Drosophila melanogaster: one gene and its partner. The protein of the gene in region 1 purifies or fractionates together with the protein of each later gene. This does not show direct contact. Each region holds a gene or a part of one and is shown on either strand. Other genes may lie near its edges.

What was found.
Region 2: the proteins of Tango2 (region 1) and Ntf-2 purify together in Drosophila melanogaster (affinity purification with mass spectrometry, with the first as the bait; one large-scale study listed by BioGRID). This does not show direct contact.

The regions. Positions count from the first base shown.
Region 1 is NC_004354.4:13,614,234-13,620,193, forward strand, and holds Tango2 (transport and golgi organization 2), read left to right. Parts: upstream 1-2,755; 5' UTR 2,756-3,200; coding exon 3,201-3,342; intron 3,343-3,580; coding exon 3,581-3,703; intron 3,704-3,868; coding exon 3,869-4,169; intron 4,170-4,363; coding exon 4,364-4,820; 3' UTR 4,821-4,974; downstream 4,975-5,960. Other genes in the region: tth (toothrin), read right to left, coding at 205-1,186, 1,443-1,747; CG2691 (uncharacterized protein), read right to left, coding at 5,330-5,432, 5,505-5,960. UniProt on the Drosophila melanogaster protein: May play a role in Golgi organization.
Region 2 is NC_004354.4:21,033,034-21,042,219, forward strand, and holds Ntf-2 (nuclear transport factor-2), read left to right. Parts: upstream 1-2,435; 5' UTR 2,436-2,580; coding exon 2,581-2,688; intron 2,689-2,797; exon of another isoform or gene 2,798-3,057; intron 3,058-3,365; coding exon 3,366-3,437; intron 3,438-3,505; coding exon 3,506-3,604; intron 3,605-4,576; coding exon of another isoform or gene 4,577-4,687; exon of another isoform or gene 4,688-4,961; intron 4,962-5,712; coding exon 5,713-5,826; 3' UTR 5,827-6,682; coding exon of another isoform or gene 6,683-6,900; 3' UTR 6,901-6,913; intron 6,914-6,981; 3' UTR 6,982-7,002; coding exon of another isoform or gene 7,003-7,126; 3' UTR 7,127-7,351; coding exon of another isoform or gene 7,352-7,405; 3' UTR 7,406-8,434; downstream 8,435-9,186. Other genes in the region: CG15449 (uncharacterized protein), read right to left, coding at 6,683-6,900, 7,003-7,126, 7,352-7,405.

The DNA of each region.
Region 1 (5,960 bases):
CACAATGTATTTGTTTCCTTTCTTTCATTTCTTGCTTGGCTTTTATCCTTTTGTCGGAGGGGGGCAACAAACAGTGATCAACTAAGGCTTAAAAACTATATTTAAATTATGTGCGAAAAAGTAGGTCGATTCAATAGGCGAGAAAACATTGCGAAAAACAAGGCTTTGATTGATTACACGTCCAGTTAGTTGCTGATAGAGCGGTTACAGATACTTCCGATAGTTGCGCAGATGGGCGTTCGCGTCCTCGACCACGCCCACCGCAGCAGCGGCACTCTCGAAGGATGGTGGCTCGATGACCATGCCGGGACTTGTCGGATCGCAAGACGCTCCAACGGCGCTATTTGGCCCCTTGGCTCGTCGCCTGCCACGTGTTCCCGCTCCCCGCGATCTGCGGCTGTTGGCCGAAGCTCCCGATGCTCCTCCTCCGCCGCCGGATCCCGAAACTCCCGCTAAGCCTGCTCCCAGGCTGCCGCTTAGGATGCCTCCGCTGGAGATTGGTCCTCCATTGCTGCCTGGCACACTCTCGCCAGATTCAATGGCCTCCAGCGATGCGTCCAGCGCCGCATCCGTCGTTGTGATACGCGACCTGGCCGCTGCACTGCGTCTCCGCGAGCTGGAGCTACCGCCGGAATTGCCGCCACCGCCGGCGCCTCCTCCACCACCACCGCCGCCGGAATCTCCACCTCGCTTGCCTGGTCGCCGCTTGCGCCTTTTTTTGTTACCATAGCGCGGATCATAATCGTACTCATCATCCGCCGGCGATTTGGGCTCCTCCAGCGAGTCCACATCGTTCATATCCATGTCATCGTAGAACCACTCCTTGGGCAAAAGCTCCTCTTTGACGGCCTGCTGCTGGTGCTGGTGCTGCTGATGTTGTTGCTGTTGACTGTCCTTGCTGTCGGATGTATCACCGCCGGCGGCACCCAGCGAGCTGGACTCCTCCAGGCTGAAGGCTCCATTAAAATCGTGGGCAGTGTCACTGTGCAGGGAACCAAGTACGGCCGGCGCGGCTCCGCCGCCCGTAAGCATATTGAGCGTTAGGGAGGAGCTGCTGGCCAGGCTATTGCTGCCGGGCATGGAGCCCACACCGCTGGTCAGGCTGCTCAGTCCCAGATTGACGCCGCTGGCCACCAGAGCTTCGTGCTCCTTGCGTAGCGCCTGGAAGGGACGCTCGGGAAAGCGGCTGTATAAGTGGAAAGTTCGTTATTAGCAGGGATAAATATGGAGCTCACCCAACGAAAAATGTAGGATTTGATGAGATTGAATGGCATATACACAGATGATATTCTTCTAACCTAACTCGTTTTAAATAAGATTACCATAGGTAACAGACTCCTAGATTTCCAAGCTCTAATTTGCTTCGCCAGAGTTATACCTAACTTTTCCTTGTGCATGTGCCAGTCACTCAAATCCCGCACCGATTGGTTACGATTCCTCACCTGTACATCTTGCTCAAGTACTGACGACGGCTCTTCCGCCAGCGGGCCGCCGGATACGTGTAGATCTGGCCCTGCCGGAAGCCGGGCATCCGCTGTCGCTTGTCCAGGAAGAGCTGCGAGTGGTTCTGGGCGACGCCTGTCTGCGGATCGAGGAAGGGCAGCCGGTGGCGCCGTTCGCTGCACAGGCGCGTGTTGAAGTTGGCACTGTACTCGATCGTCTCCCGGTAGCTGACATCCTTCAGGAAGCTCTCGATCTTGGCCAGATTCGGCATAGAGACGATCTGGATGTTAACGGCGGAGGACATGGCTGTTCCTGGTCCTAATCCCACTGTTGGCTAACCTCAGAGTCCGGCTGTGCCGCTAATCCATCCCAGAGTCTTGGCAATTTCCGCTCCGCTCCGCCCCGTTTCTTATCGCAATTTTTTTCCAGTGTGTTGTGTTCCGTTTCTTATCGCTTTTCGCTGCCTGTTTTTTTTATTCTTCTTCGTCTTCCACCTCTCCTCTCGACCGACACATACACGCACGCACACACACACACACGCAAAGCTCTCTATCGATGTGACCCCGCGCCAGGGGGCGTGGGCGGCAGTGGGCGTGGCGAGGGCGATACGTTTAGATCGCGATCTGCGGCCGGATTTTCCAATTGTTTAATTGATCAGAAATATTAACGTCGTTTTCACTGCTCTGCTGAATGCCAGTGTTACCAGATGGCGACATGATTTTCCCCCCAAATGTTCTCGACCGACCGGTATTTTTGTCCTAAAAAATCCACTCTTTCGCTTTAATTTTAGCGATCAGTTTTCTTACCAATTTAAGGGCCTGTATAGGTCTGTTAGTTAATTTATGCATTGCAGTGCATAGCTATGTAATGGTATTTTCTAGTTTTAATTACAAGCCTATGTTACAGGGTTTTTGGTTAGTTTTCAAACATCGATAAGTTGTAAGCCAATCGATTGCCGGGCCCACGGTCATACAATAGAGATGGGCAACTGGCGATAATGCCTACCTACCTGTTACGCCAATTTCAAAATAGTAGTTTGTTATCTGGATCGGCACAGGCGACAAAAAAAACTAATATGTTTATATATACGTTATATATGGCTTTGGAAATAAATTACACAATCATATTGGTCAATCATTGTTTCAGCGCACGATGAGGAACTAAAATCTTCAAATTTAAAAGTACAAATTAAGATAAGTCATAGACTGCACAAATAAATAATTAGCAATTAATAAAATAGCTAAAAGAATATTGCACAGGGCAGCAGAGTGTTAACGATTTTCTTATCGATTCTCCTGTCAGCTGGCAACGCCAAAACAAAACAAAAACAAAATTAAAAGAGAAATCAAAACAAGGCAACCCGGTCATTGAAATTTCAGAAAATACTGCTTTGTTTGCGTTAACGGGAATGCTTTTTGCCCCGTAGATATGTATATATCACATAGAGGCACGGCTCACAGAGAACACCCACCAATCCAAACCATTTACATTTACCACTTAGATTAGCTGGTCTCGCAAACAACGGATAAGACTGTATATCAGCTGTACGTACGTACGGCTATTTGGTGATAAAACCGGCGCTATAGTTCCACTGCCACAAAGTAACAAAGAGAAGACTGAGCCGAACAACCTGCCATTTTGATACCGACGCCCCACCGAGATTAAAGCCCACTTTTCCGGATCCCATTCGCAGTTGTCCCACAACCTCAAGGCACTACAAATCGCAACAATAGCCAAATAAGTATAGGATTCCGACGATGTGCGTGATATTCTTTTGTGCGGACTCGAATCCGCAACCGGGTGGCTACAAGCTCATCCTGGCCTCCAATCGGGACGAGTTCTTTGCCCGCGCCACCCTATCGGCAGCCAAGTGGGCGAATGCCGATCATGTTTACGGAGGTAAGTGGTGGGGCTTATGCCCTTGAATGCCTATGCTTAGATGGAGTATAATCCTTGAGAGCTTGTATTCATCAAGATGTTACCTATAGTTTAGTCACTAAGATGATTTGATAGCAGTTTGTTAGAATGAACACCTCTCACAAGATCTGTTTCCCAGCAACCTAATTGGATTTCAAGCCATCTTACCCATGAGTGCGGGATCAACTTGAGTAAATATTTATGTATTCCCCCATTTCAGGGATCGATCTGGAGCCGGGACGCGAGGGCGGCACCTGGCTGGCGATCGGCCACTCCGCTGGCTTCTTTAAGGTGGGCGCCCTGCTCAATCTGACCGGCGAGCCCAAGCCACGCGATGCAGTTGGTAAACCCATTTGAGCTACTTACTAATCCAAATTGACGCGCACACACACGCACACACACTCATCCATACACCTAACACTTGGCCCGAACTAAAACTTTCACAACCGCGACCAAAGAAAAAGCAAAGCAAAAACAAACTTTCTTCGTTTCTGTTTTCTGTTTGAAGCGCACAAAAACATTTTGCAACCGCATAATCACAACAGCAACAGCACCGGCATTAACCTTTGCCCCAAGACCACCACCTCCAACAGCTACCGTCATCCGAATCCGAATCCAATTCAGAACCCGAATACGAATCCGAGTAGGGGGCAATCGAATAACGAACATTTCTTACTAGGGCGCGGCATGATTGTGGCGGACTATGTTACCCGGGCGGACGAGGAGCACAGCATCCTGAACTACAACGAAAGGCTGCTCAAAGATTGCACCAAGTATTCTGCCTTCAACTTTGTGTCCATCGAAATTGGGTGAGTCTGCGCCCATTCAGGTTAACCTGAATTATTATATATTCTAATTATATGCATATTAGTATGTACATATATTGCTTTATGCTGTCTTTATCTCCGAATTATACGTATAAATTCTGAATAATATGCAATAACATTAGGGAACCATTAGCGAAACATTGATACCATCTACTGCACGCCTTCGTTCTCAACAGATCTGCATCCCAGCCCGCTCGCGTGAAGCTGCTGAGCAATGTGCCGCCCACGCTGGAGGATTTCCAGAACGGCGAGTGCTACGGATTTGGCAACAGTCTGCCGCACTCTCCGTTCGAGAAGGTGCGTCATGGCAAACAGGAGTTCGAGGCGATCGTTAAGGCTCATGGGGAAGCCAGCGTGGAGACTCTGTCCGCCCAGCTGATGCAGTTGCTCCGCAACAAGCACAAATTCTGGCCGGACGACGAGCTAAAGACACGTGCGCCCAACTGGGGCGAGGGATTGAGTTCCCTAAACGTCCATATCGAAGAGCATGCCTATGGCAGCCGTACACACTCCGTTGTCCTGGTGGACAGCGAGAATAAGATGCACTTCATTGAGGAGACAATGACTGGATTGGATCCGCACGGCGAATGGAACAAGACCCACATTGAAAAGGATTTTCAAAACGGCGTTTGACCACGGACAGGATGACGCAACTTCTTGACGCAACTATCTCGTTCGAAGACTTTCCTCTTTTGTAGAATAACCTAATTGGCTAATATTCTACCAATCTGTATTTTGACTCTGGCATTTGCGATAATAAATAGTCATATTTACTATATCTTTAAAGAACATAAAGCTTGTGTGGATTTAATCTAACGTTACTGCTCTTCTTTCTGCCACGCATCGAACTATGTTGCTTTCAAAATTCTTTATTCAAAGTCTTTGCAGATCAAAACAAAAAAAAAAAAAAATACATAACTATTCTGTTTCTGTTTTTCTTTATCTGTGGCATTTACAACGTCTCCACATGTTCATATATATATATTAAGTTATATTTATATATTTAAGCAAAGTAACAGGGGAAATAATCATCAACGTCTTAGCTTCCTTATCAACAGACCGCACTATCCCAGTGTTATTATACATCTCTATATCTCTATAGCTTTACGAGCCTGTTAGCCAGTTGGCTTGAATCGTCTGCCCTATTTGTATTTCTTGGACACCCGGCCACCGCCGGCTCCTCCATTTTCAGCGCCAGCTCCTCGCAATACGCTCTTGAATTTTCGCGAATTCATTGAACGTTTTCTGGGGGCGAAAGAGATGGAGTATTAGATAGGGACGGGTATATTAATAATATTAAACATTTTGGATACACACCTCTTGTTCAGGTTATTCCTAGTGAGTGGTATATACGCATATGGATCCAGTTTTCCGCTCTTCTTCATATCACCCTTGGCCTTCTTGCTGCCGTACTCACTGCCCGCTGGGCGGCTGGTGGATTTGCCTGACTTCACGGACATGGCATCCGAGTTTCCAGCTGTCAGCTGTCGATGAATGCCCTTGCCACCGGCAGTGTAGCGACTACTGGCAGTGGTTTTGCCCGATTTCATGCTCATCGCATCATCACCCTTGCGTACACGCTTGGGTACTAGCTTCTGCTGCAGTTTATCTTCGTCGCTCGAATCGTCTTCCATGCCACGCTTAACCTTGGGCTGCTTGGCTACAGTGCCATACGCCATGGATGCATCGGAATCCGAGTCGTCATCGGACTGATCGTTACCGCCCTGGCCACGAAGTGCCTTGTCGCTGATGATCAGGCGTCCATCGTCGGCA
Region 2 (9,186 bases), 7.4 Mb from region 1:
CGTGCATGGATGCTGGGATAAGCCAAGGATTTGAGCTTCGTAAGCGGTTTTGACCCTTTGGTGGGAGTCGTGAATGCGGCTGCGGATGTTTATGTCTGGTGGATTGGGTGCCCTCTTGAGTGGATCGCGCATGGGTACTGATCAGCCGAGAACTTCAGCTGCGTTAGCGGTTTTGACCCTTTGGTGGGAATAGCGAATTCGGCAGCGGATGTTAATGTTTACATTAGGGCAGGCTGGATTTTTTATTGTCACCAGAATTGGGGTTCTTATGGGATACTTGAATTTATGACTTATATCCTAAGGCATTCTATGATTTGGTTTATGCAAAGACACTAGAATAACAAGATGCGTAACGCCATACGATTTTTTGGCACACGATTTTTTGGCCGTGGCTCTAGAGGTGGCTCCAGGCTCTCTCGAATTTTTGTTAGAGAGCGAGAGAGCGGAGAGCGCTACAGCGAATAGCAGACAACTGTATGTGTGCACACGTATGTTCATGCATTGTAAATTTGACAAAATATGCCCTTCACCTCAGAAGTTCTTAGACTTTAAATCTATATTATTTTTGATCAATTGGCACCATGCGAAAAAATCTTGTTTTGCATTGCAAATCCTGATCGTCCTCGCGAAGCAATGCTTCACGGCCATACCGCGGGGGGTCCTGGATTTGCCCTCCTTACTTTTACATTGTTAATCTGTTAATCTTAATCTTAAATGTTCAATAGACGAATTAAAAAAAAAAAAACCTAATCCTGTGTAATCAGAGCACTGGGGACGCGCGCGAGTAGCCGGGCGAATCGAGTTAACGCTCCTGGAAAACCCGAAAATTTTCCGTGTCGCGGCAGCTAAATAGAGACAGGAGTGACTGTCTCTAACACACAGTAATAGTGTAAAAATCACGGAGCAGACCAATAGCCAACCCCTCCGCTTATGAGTCCCCCGTCGGAACTTCACCCTTCACACCCAACCCTTAAGTCCATGACGCTGCGCTTGCTCTCTTGACCAGCCGGGCAGCAGCATAATAAAAACCCATTTTGCGTCTGAGCCAAGGTGGCCGGCGGAATGGTTTGTGTCTGAGCCTCATCGGCCAGCACCGTAACCATCACCTGGCGAATGGTATAGGGCCGCACACCTTGCAGTCCAAGGTTCTAAGGACCCCACCCTATAAGCCAAACGATGGCACCCCCAAGGGGCCATTATAAGTGACCTCCCCCCCAAACAGAGCCCAACCAGCAAGGCCCCCTTTTCTAGAAATCGAGGAGATGGGAGATATATTATACAACGGGGTGAGGAGCATTAATCTGGCAATGAAGAACACATTTGCCAGATTGAAGGATCTCCAACTAAAGCTGCGCGTGAGGCTGCCGGAGGAGGAGAATTCGCATGCCAAATGCACCGCAAGAACTGATGCTAGCCAACAGACCATCCCTAATGGCCTCTTTAGCTATGAAGAACCGAGTAAGGGCAAAGACGGTGTCAAACCAAAGATCGCACGGTGATGTCCAACGCCCTGCACTCCAAGGAGCTGAAGTTGGCGTTGCCGACTCGACCAGCAAGACGGTAATAATGCTGCTCAAAGGTGCCTTGAAACGTGCGACACATACTGAATATGCCATCCAACTGTTTTTCTGTTTTTTATTTTTGTTCTTAGCTAAATGTAATATGTCAAATAAACGAATTTAAAAAAAACCTAATCCTGCGAACCAAACATAGGTGTGTGTTGTGATGGAGGCAACTCCTGCGCAGGCGCGCGATGTCCGTAAATGTGGTGAGCATTGCCACGAATTGTGCGCGCCAAACGCAAATTTTCCTGCTGCGATGCATACGCACTGCCGGTGTGACCAGATCGGTCACTCTTATCGATATCGTTACCAATCCAGCTTACTAGCTTTAATAAATTCTATAAACTTGTATATCGAAAATAAAATTATTATTAATATTATATTAATATCATTTCAAATGGCAATGAATATTTAATTTTAGTAATAAATTGGGGTGGATATATGCTTTTCCGAATGTGAAGAAAACATCATCCTTTCAATATCTGGTTTATCCCTCCCGTCTGAAAATTGTGAAAATACAAGCGATTCCACATTATGAATAAACGGATCTAAAAATCAACTTTAGATACCTTACAATGGATTGTAAGTTGCGTTAGCTTAAGTATGACCTGCAATTAAACAACAAATCAAAGAAAAGTCGTCCCGAGCGAGGAAAAAAAATAATATATGAAACACAAATAATTGTTTTCCAAATGACCAAGTATTACGCCTGACAGAAATGCAATAATTTGTTCTTACATTTATGTGACCCTATCATCATCGAATCATATTTCAAATTCCAATTCCGATTTCGTTATTAGGACATCGGGCTGTAGCCCTGGGTATCGTAATCGATAGTTGCGAAATAGCAGTCAGCGATAGTGTCTGACAAAATCGACGTTGTTCCACCCCTAACAAAGAGTGGTGATCTGAGCGCAGTCGGTTGATTTCATTTGGTTTTTTTTTTAATTATTCGTGTCGCCGCGATCGGATCGGATTTCCCATAATCTCTGAGCGTTCCGCCTATCCTTCAAGTGAAATGTCGCTGAATCCGCAGTACGAGGACATTGGCAAGGGATTTGTGCAGCAGTACTATGCGATATTCGATGACCCGGCGAATCGGGCGAACGTGGTTAATTTCTATAGCGTAAGTGTTGTTGCTTCCCGCTTCTGCTCGTCGCCTTTCATCTCTCCTTTATTCCCGTCTCCGCTTTCGCCTGCACATTTTTCGCTTGCCATCCCCATCACACGCACAGGTGACGCGCGGCGCGCCCTTGAAAAATTCCGCCTCCTTTCAGCAGAAAATGAATAAAGAAACTGTTGCAATGCGAAAAAGAGCGCGAAAAAGAGCAGCTGGAGATATACGGTCGGCGTATCCGTGATATCGTGGGAATAGGATGAATGTTGATAGGGGCGGGGGCAGCGTTCGATTCTCGAAGTTTCGGGTGACACATTACGCCCATGCTCGCATAAATAAATACACACATACGAAATATATGGCCAACATACAACTGCGGTTAGCACAATAGGGCCCAATATACGATATAAATTCGTGAAAAAATTGTATTAATATCTTGAAAAATATGGCATAATTGTGTTTCATTAGTTTCAATCAATTCAGTTTTTTTGTCACATAAAAGAGTAAATGAAAGAATAAAAAAGTCTATAATGATAAAGTATTGAAAATAAAACTATCTGTTTGATATGTTTTTAATTTAAATATTAACAGTTTTATAACCAATTTTGTTCTTAATAATACGAAATATCATTACTAAGTAAAACATCATCATAACACTTATATCATTATATATTTTATACTTCCAGGCTACCGACTCATTCATGACCTTTGAAGGCCACCAAATACAGGGGGCACCCAAGATTCTGGAAAAAGTTCAGGTAAGTCCTGATTATATACAGTCATGGGCATATGTATAATATTTTGCATACCCTTCCTATTCCTGCAGAGTCTGAGCTTTCAGAAGATTACCAGAGTGATAACCACAGTGGACTCGCAGCCAACTTTCGATGGCGGAGTTCTGATCAACGTCCTTGGAAGACTACAGGTAAAACCAGAATTCTCAACAAGAAAACTGTCCTAAACTCGCTGTCGGGGGGAAATTCAATGACTGCCTGCGGCGGCGGTTAGAATATTAGCACTGCCGACCAATTCAATCGATTTTCTTTTCAAGTTTTGAATTTTATTTTTGGTCTTTTCAACACGTAAATGCTTGACAATCGTTTTTGTAACAAATAGAACGTTTTGTTTTGGCTTTCACATAAGAACATTATTTATTTTGCACTGTTTCCCATTTATTTGTTATCATGTATGGGCTTTATTAAGCCTGCCACTTTATTCCATTAAGTGTTCTTCATTCTAAGATACATTATACCCGTTACTAGTGCAGTTAAAGAGTATACTATATTCGTTAAAAAGTATGTAACATGTAGAAGCAATCGTTTTCGACAAAATGTAGTATATATATTCTTGATCAGGATCAATAGCCGAGTCGATCTGGCCCTCTCCATATGAACGTCGAGATCTCAGGAACTATAAAAGCTAGAAGGTTGATATTAAGCAGACCGATCCTAGAGACACCGACGCAGCGCAAGTTTGTTGATCCATGTTGCCACGCCCACTCATATTGTTCAATATGAAATTTCGCGTTCTCACTTCCAGTCGGAAAAGTCGACCATAGCATTCTCTCTTGTTTTGAATATAATATCCATTGACTTATTGATGCAGTTATAGTAGGTAGATAAATGAAATGAATTTTAAAAAGAGTAACTGCCTCAATGTATTTTACGATACCTTATTGTTCAAAGTGGATATATGTAGAGACGTAGAAGCAAATTTCAATCGCCCATCACTTAAGATATGAAATCATTCATCATTCTTCCGTAAAGTCGTAAGGGCAGTGCTATTTGCCGACCGCCGCTGCATCTATTATTCCATATAAGTCACCTGAATCTGAATCGAATATCTCAATTCTGGTTATTACAAAACGAAACACAAATGCCAAAACAAACCAATGCAGACCGACGAGGATCAGCCGCATGCCTATATTCAGACCTTCGTATTGAAGCCGGTGGGCGGCAGTTTCTTTGTGCAGCACGATATATTCCGACTCTCGCTGCACGATGTGTAGCACCAGCGAGCCCGACCTGCCACGCCCAGTCCACAGACTCCAGCGCCCGGCTATATGTGTGTAAATCGAGATCGAGATCAGCAGCCAAACGATCAGCCAGCAGACACGAGACGAGAGCCAGTTAAAAAACGAAAGAAATCCATATCTAAGCGATAAGATAGTTCTGCTGCTTGTCGACCTTATGCCGCCCAGCCATGCCCACTCCGCCCACATATACAAAAATATTTATCCTTGGCGTCTCGTCGTCGTCCAATTTCTTCTAATTATTCTCACAGTACGTGAATGTCCAACGAAAATTAATCAAATCAAAATGTTGCGCATTTCATTTCGTGCATGGTTTTCGTTGATTTTGAGTTGGATTTGCTCTTTCTTTCGGTTGGTCGCTGGGGACCTGGAACCTCCTAATAATGCAATTTTAATGTAACACAAACAATTTCTGTAACCTCTATTGCTTTACATTTTTAACTAAACGGTTTATATTTATATTATATTTTTAGATGCTTTCAATTGATATTGCACTTATAAAAATTCTGTTTTTCATTTGTTACAAAACCAAATACCAATTGACTAGTCTTAACTTGCATATTGTTTTGTTCAATAGCTCGAAGAAGAGAACTGTAAATATCCCAAATTGTTAAGCGCACCCTAATATGCCTTAAAAAAAAAACTTTCAAATGTTGTTCAATTTTGAATGGAACTGAGGAAAGTTTTGAGAAGTTCTTATATCAGTGAATAATAATTTTGCTCGCACATTTGGTATAAAGTTTATTCTGCTCGTGAAAATGTTTTGGAGTTATGTTCAATTTATCGAGCGAGCCCTGTACAGTAAACACGCACCTTACACGATCAATCGGCTGCCAGTTGTACACCCTTTCCCTCTGACCCTGGCTTCAAACTGTGTGTACTCCATTCATATCTAACTCAATACGTTGAAATTGGTTTTTCGCACGCTTGTGTTATTGACTTTAAATGTGACTGGTTTGCCTGGCATCTGCTAACGTATTTATGATTTCATTCCTTTGCAGTGCGATGACGATCCCCCACATGCCTTCTCGCAGGTCTTTTTCCTGAAGGCCAACGCAGGCACCTTCTTTGTGGCCCACGACATCTTCCGTCTCAACATCCACAACTCTGCCTAGGAGCACTCCACTTACCTACGTATGCACACCACTCAGCACCACACATAATCGACATCCAAAGATGCCCAGCGCCAGATGATAACAACAAGCTCGGCAGTGGAACTCAGAAAAAAAAAATATAACAAAGCCAGCCAGCGGTCTCACGATTATCAGCAAATACAAAAGTTAGAAAAAGAAAAAAAAAAAAAAAACAATAAAAAAATAAGAAAATAACGCTAACTACTATTACGATGTCAACAAAATGGGCCGCCAGCTCACCTTCATTTGTGTCCCATTGTTGCCGGTACTCTCGCTTTACGATCCACGGAACCCTAGAATTATATGTTCTGCGAACACCTGGATCTCGCGATCTAATTTAGCTAGGACTATCGAATTTGGTGGTATGTGCCGTGCTACAAGCTCGTATTTCGAATTCCCGTGAAATGAGCAGGAACAGCAGGCCGGGATCATCGCCTACATAAGTTTAGAGTGATTTTCTAGACCGTTTATATTTCCAATTGAATTATTTGTACTTTAATTATGAGGATTATTTTAGATAGCCGTATTGCAAATGTATTGTGTCGAGTGTCTCGCTCTGTAAACAATTACTTGAGTACCGGGACTGCACCACACACAGTCGCAAGTATCGACTCTTGCTTTCTCATATGACTAATTGAGCGATGGCGAATTACTTTTTATTGAGAGAAAAAAAAAACACTTAAATATAAAGATAAACGTTAACAGTTTGGTTGTTTGTATGATTGGCGGAATGGCCAGTTGAACCGGAAAGATATGTATACCCTTATAAGCTATTAAATGCATACGAAAGAAGCTCCAGCGGATCTGGCCAGTGGTTTCCGTCTAAAAACTGAACGATTCACTTGTCGCGAAATGTGAACACCGCATCGAATCCGAATAGCACCCCATTGACGATGGACAGCGAGGCCTTGATGAGCGCGAGATCCCGAGTTCGGGTGCGGAAGGAGAACTCCCAGGCCTCAATGATGAACACACCGCTGGCCACGAACAAGGTGCAGCCCAGGACGCTGAAGAATATATCGATGCGCTTGTGAATGGGTGCCCGCATCAGAACGCCTGCAATTGCAAGGTATCTTAAGTAGATTTGTGTGCAAATTTCGTTTTTGGTTAACTTATTTTAGTATTTTAACTCTTAAGGACTGGCATTCCAAGGCGTACCTGCAAAGACCCCGATGACCACTATGATGTAGCCCGTGAAGGTGCCAGTGGCCAGGAACGAAGTCATTATATCGCGATCGTTGAAGCTGTAGAAGTGGAGCACCAGACACGCTACCGCAAAACCCTGGAAAAGTGAGGGGATTTTCATTTGTGGTGCTTCTTGGTGTTCTTATAATTTCCGAGTCTATCTGGTATTTCGGGTCTTTTCTTTTAATTCCCAAGTCGTTTTTTTTTTTTTTTTTTTTTTTTTTGACAAACCATTGTTTAGTAAGCATACGCGTTGCTTTTTGCATTAATTCATTAATCCTTAGAACTTGCAGTAAAATCACTTGAAAAAAAAATCCTTTACCAGTTCGAGAAACTTGACCACATTGAGGCGGCCTTTTCGCTCGCCATGAGACATTTTGTGAAACTGCTGCCGCTGACAGTCCTCGAAAATGTGGTCCAGCTTGAAAATGTACGTGTCGCAACTCAAGAAAGTTCCAAAGTTCTTCCGATTGGCCTCTTTGGAGCGTGCTCGCGACGGCAGAGCGCTGGACAAACTGATTCTGATTCGGAAATGGATGACGGATGGCAGGCAAATGCGGCTGCAGTTTGCAGTTGGGCGCAGTCGGGCCCAGCCAGCGAAATTAATTAATTACACTTAGGAAATAGGCTTTTCATTCTTGTTCCCATCCCTGTGTATCCGCCCACGTCCACCACGTCCGCCGGGCCTCTCGGTTCCATCTCTGAAGTGGAGACCGTCTGCGTTCTCCGCTGCCAGCTGCACTCGAGCCCCATCCCTTCCAGCTTGATTGAGTGGAGCATAATGTCTGTATCTGCATGCATGCTCTGTGCCGGTGGGTGGCCAGTGGACAGTGGGCAGCCGCCCAATGGACTCGGACTCATTGTGCTCGCATTGCCATTACCCCAAATTTGCTGCCTAACCTTCGGGGCCCAAGATCGGAGCTAATTCGCGGAATCGGGGCCAACGGGTCGCCAATTTTCCGATGGTAATCAAGTGGATAATGGAAAACATATCGCCGGGGAAATCACTTCCTCAAATCATGAATAATCTTATGGACTTCATGGGAATTATTAGGTTGTAAGGTTGTGTTGCAACGCTTTTCAGATATAAAAGTGGATTTGTAATGCATGGAATATATTTTTTAATATATTACAAGTACTGTACTTTTTAAGTGCAATTAAAAGCTTAGAGCAACATAAAAAGTAAGCCGAATTTTATATACCCTTCACCTATAGTAACTTAGCTACCACTAGCTTGGACGACTACAGTCGTCCTGTTTTAATAAAATGTATTTTATTTCTATTTATTTTTCCTGTATTTTTTACGAACGTTAAACTGCAAATCCCATTCCGCTCGCTCCTAGTTCAGCTAAATTATATAGTTTATATAAAATTAGATTAGTAATTACATTTCCGACCCGGCCTGTTATTGCCTTATCTAATACCTGCAATAGGTTTAATAGTTTAAGTAAATACGATTACGTGGAAATAAACAGACACGGTAAGATTTAGTTGGGTGTCAATTCTGACTAAAAATATATATCTAAGTAATATATACTTTGTTCCTGACTAAAACAATAACACTTCCTGTGTTCTATGGTCAATTTGAAAACATGCAAAATAAGTTGTTACAGCTGAACAAATCTATTTTTAATTTTTAAATTAGTTCTCTATAGAGTGTTTATGCCACATGTTGAACCTATTTATCTTAACTTAACATCAACTGCTTTATTAATTTCAAAACCTAACCATTAAAATAAATATATGTTTTTAGAATAATTTCGGCTGGTAGCAAGCAGAAGTACATATACGATTATTTATTATCAAAAGCCCAGCTTATCAGTTTGAAGGCAACTTTTGATATGATTCAACGCAGACACAGGTGCGCATTGAAACTATATTTAGACCTTCTTATCGCTTCAATGTTTTGATTAATCCGTATTTTCTGTTTCAATTTTGAAAATGCATTTTTCAAGACCTTACTACCAGAACGAAATCCAATTGAGCTTTGGCAAGCTTTTTGTTTCAGCAATTTTACGGTAATTAGCAGCAATTCCCATGCTATTGTAGTTCTATTAAAAGTTAATCGCCAGCACTTTACAGTGACAGCAAAACTAGTTATACTAGTTGCGAACTATGATCGAAAATGATACCCCACCGAGCTACATGGTTACAAGA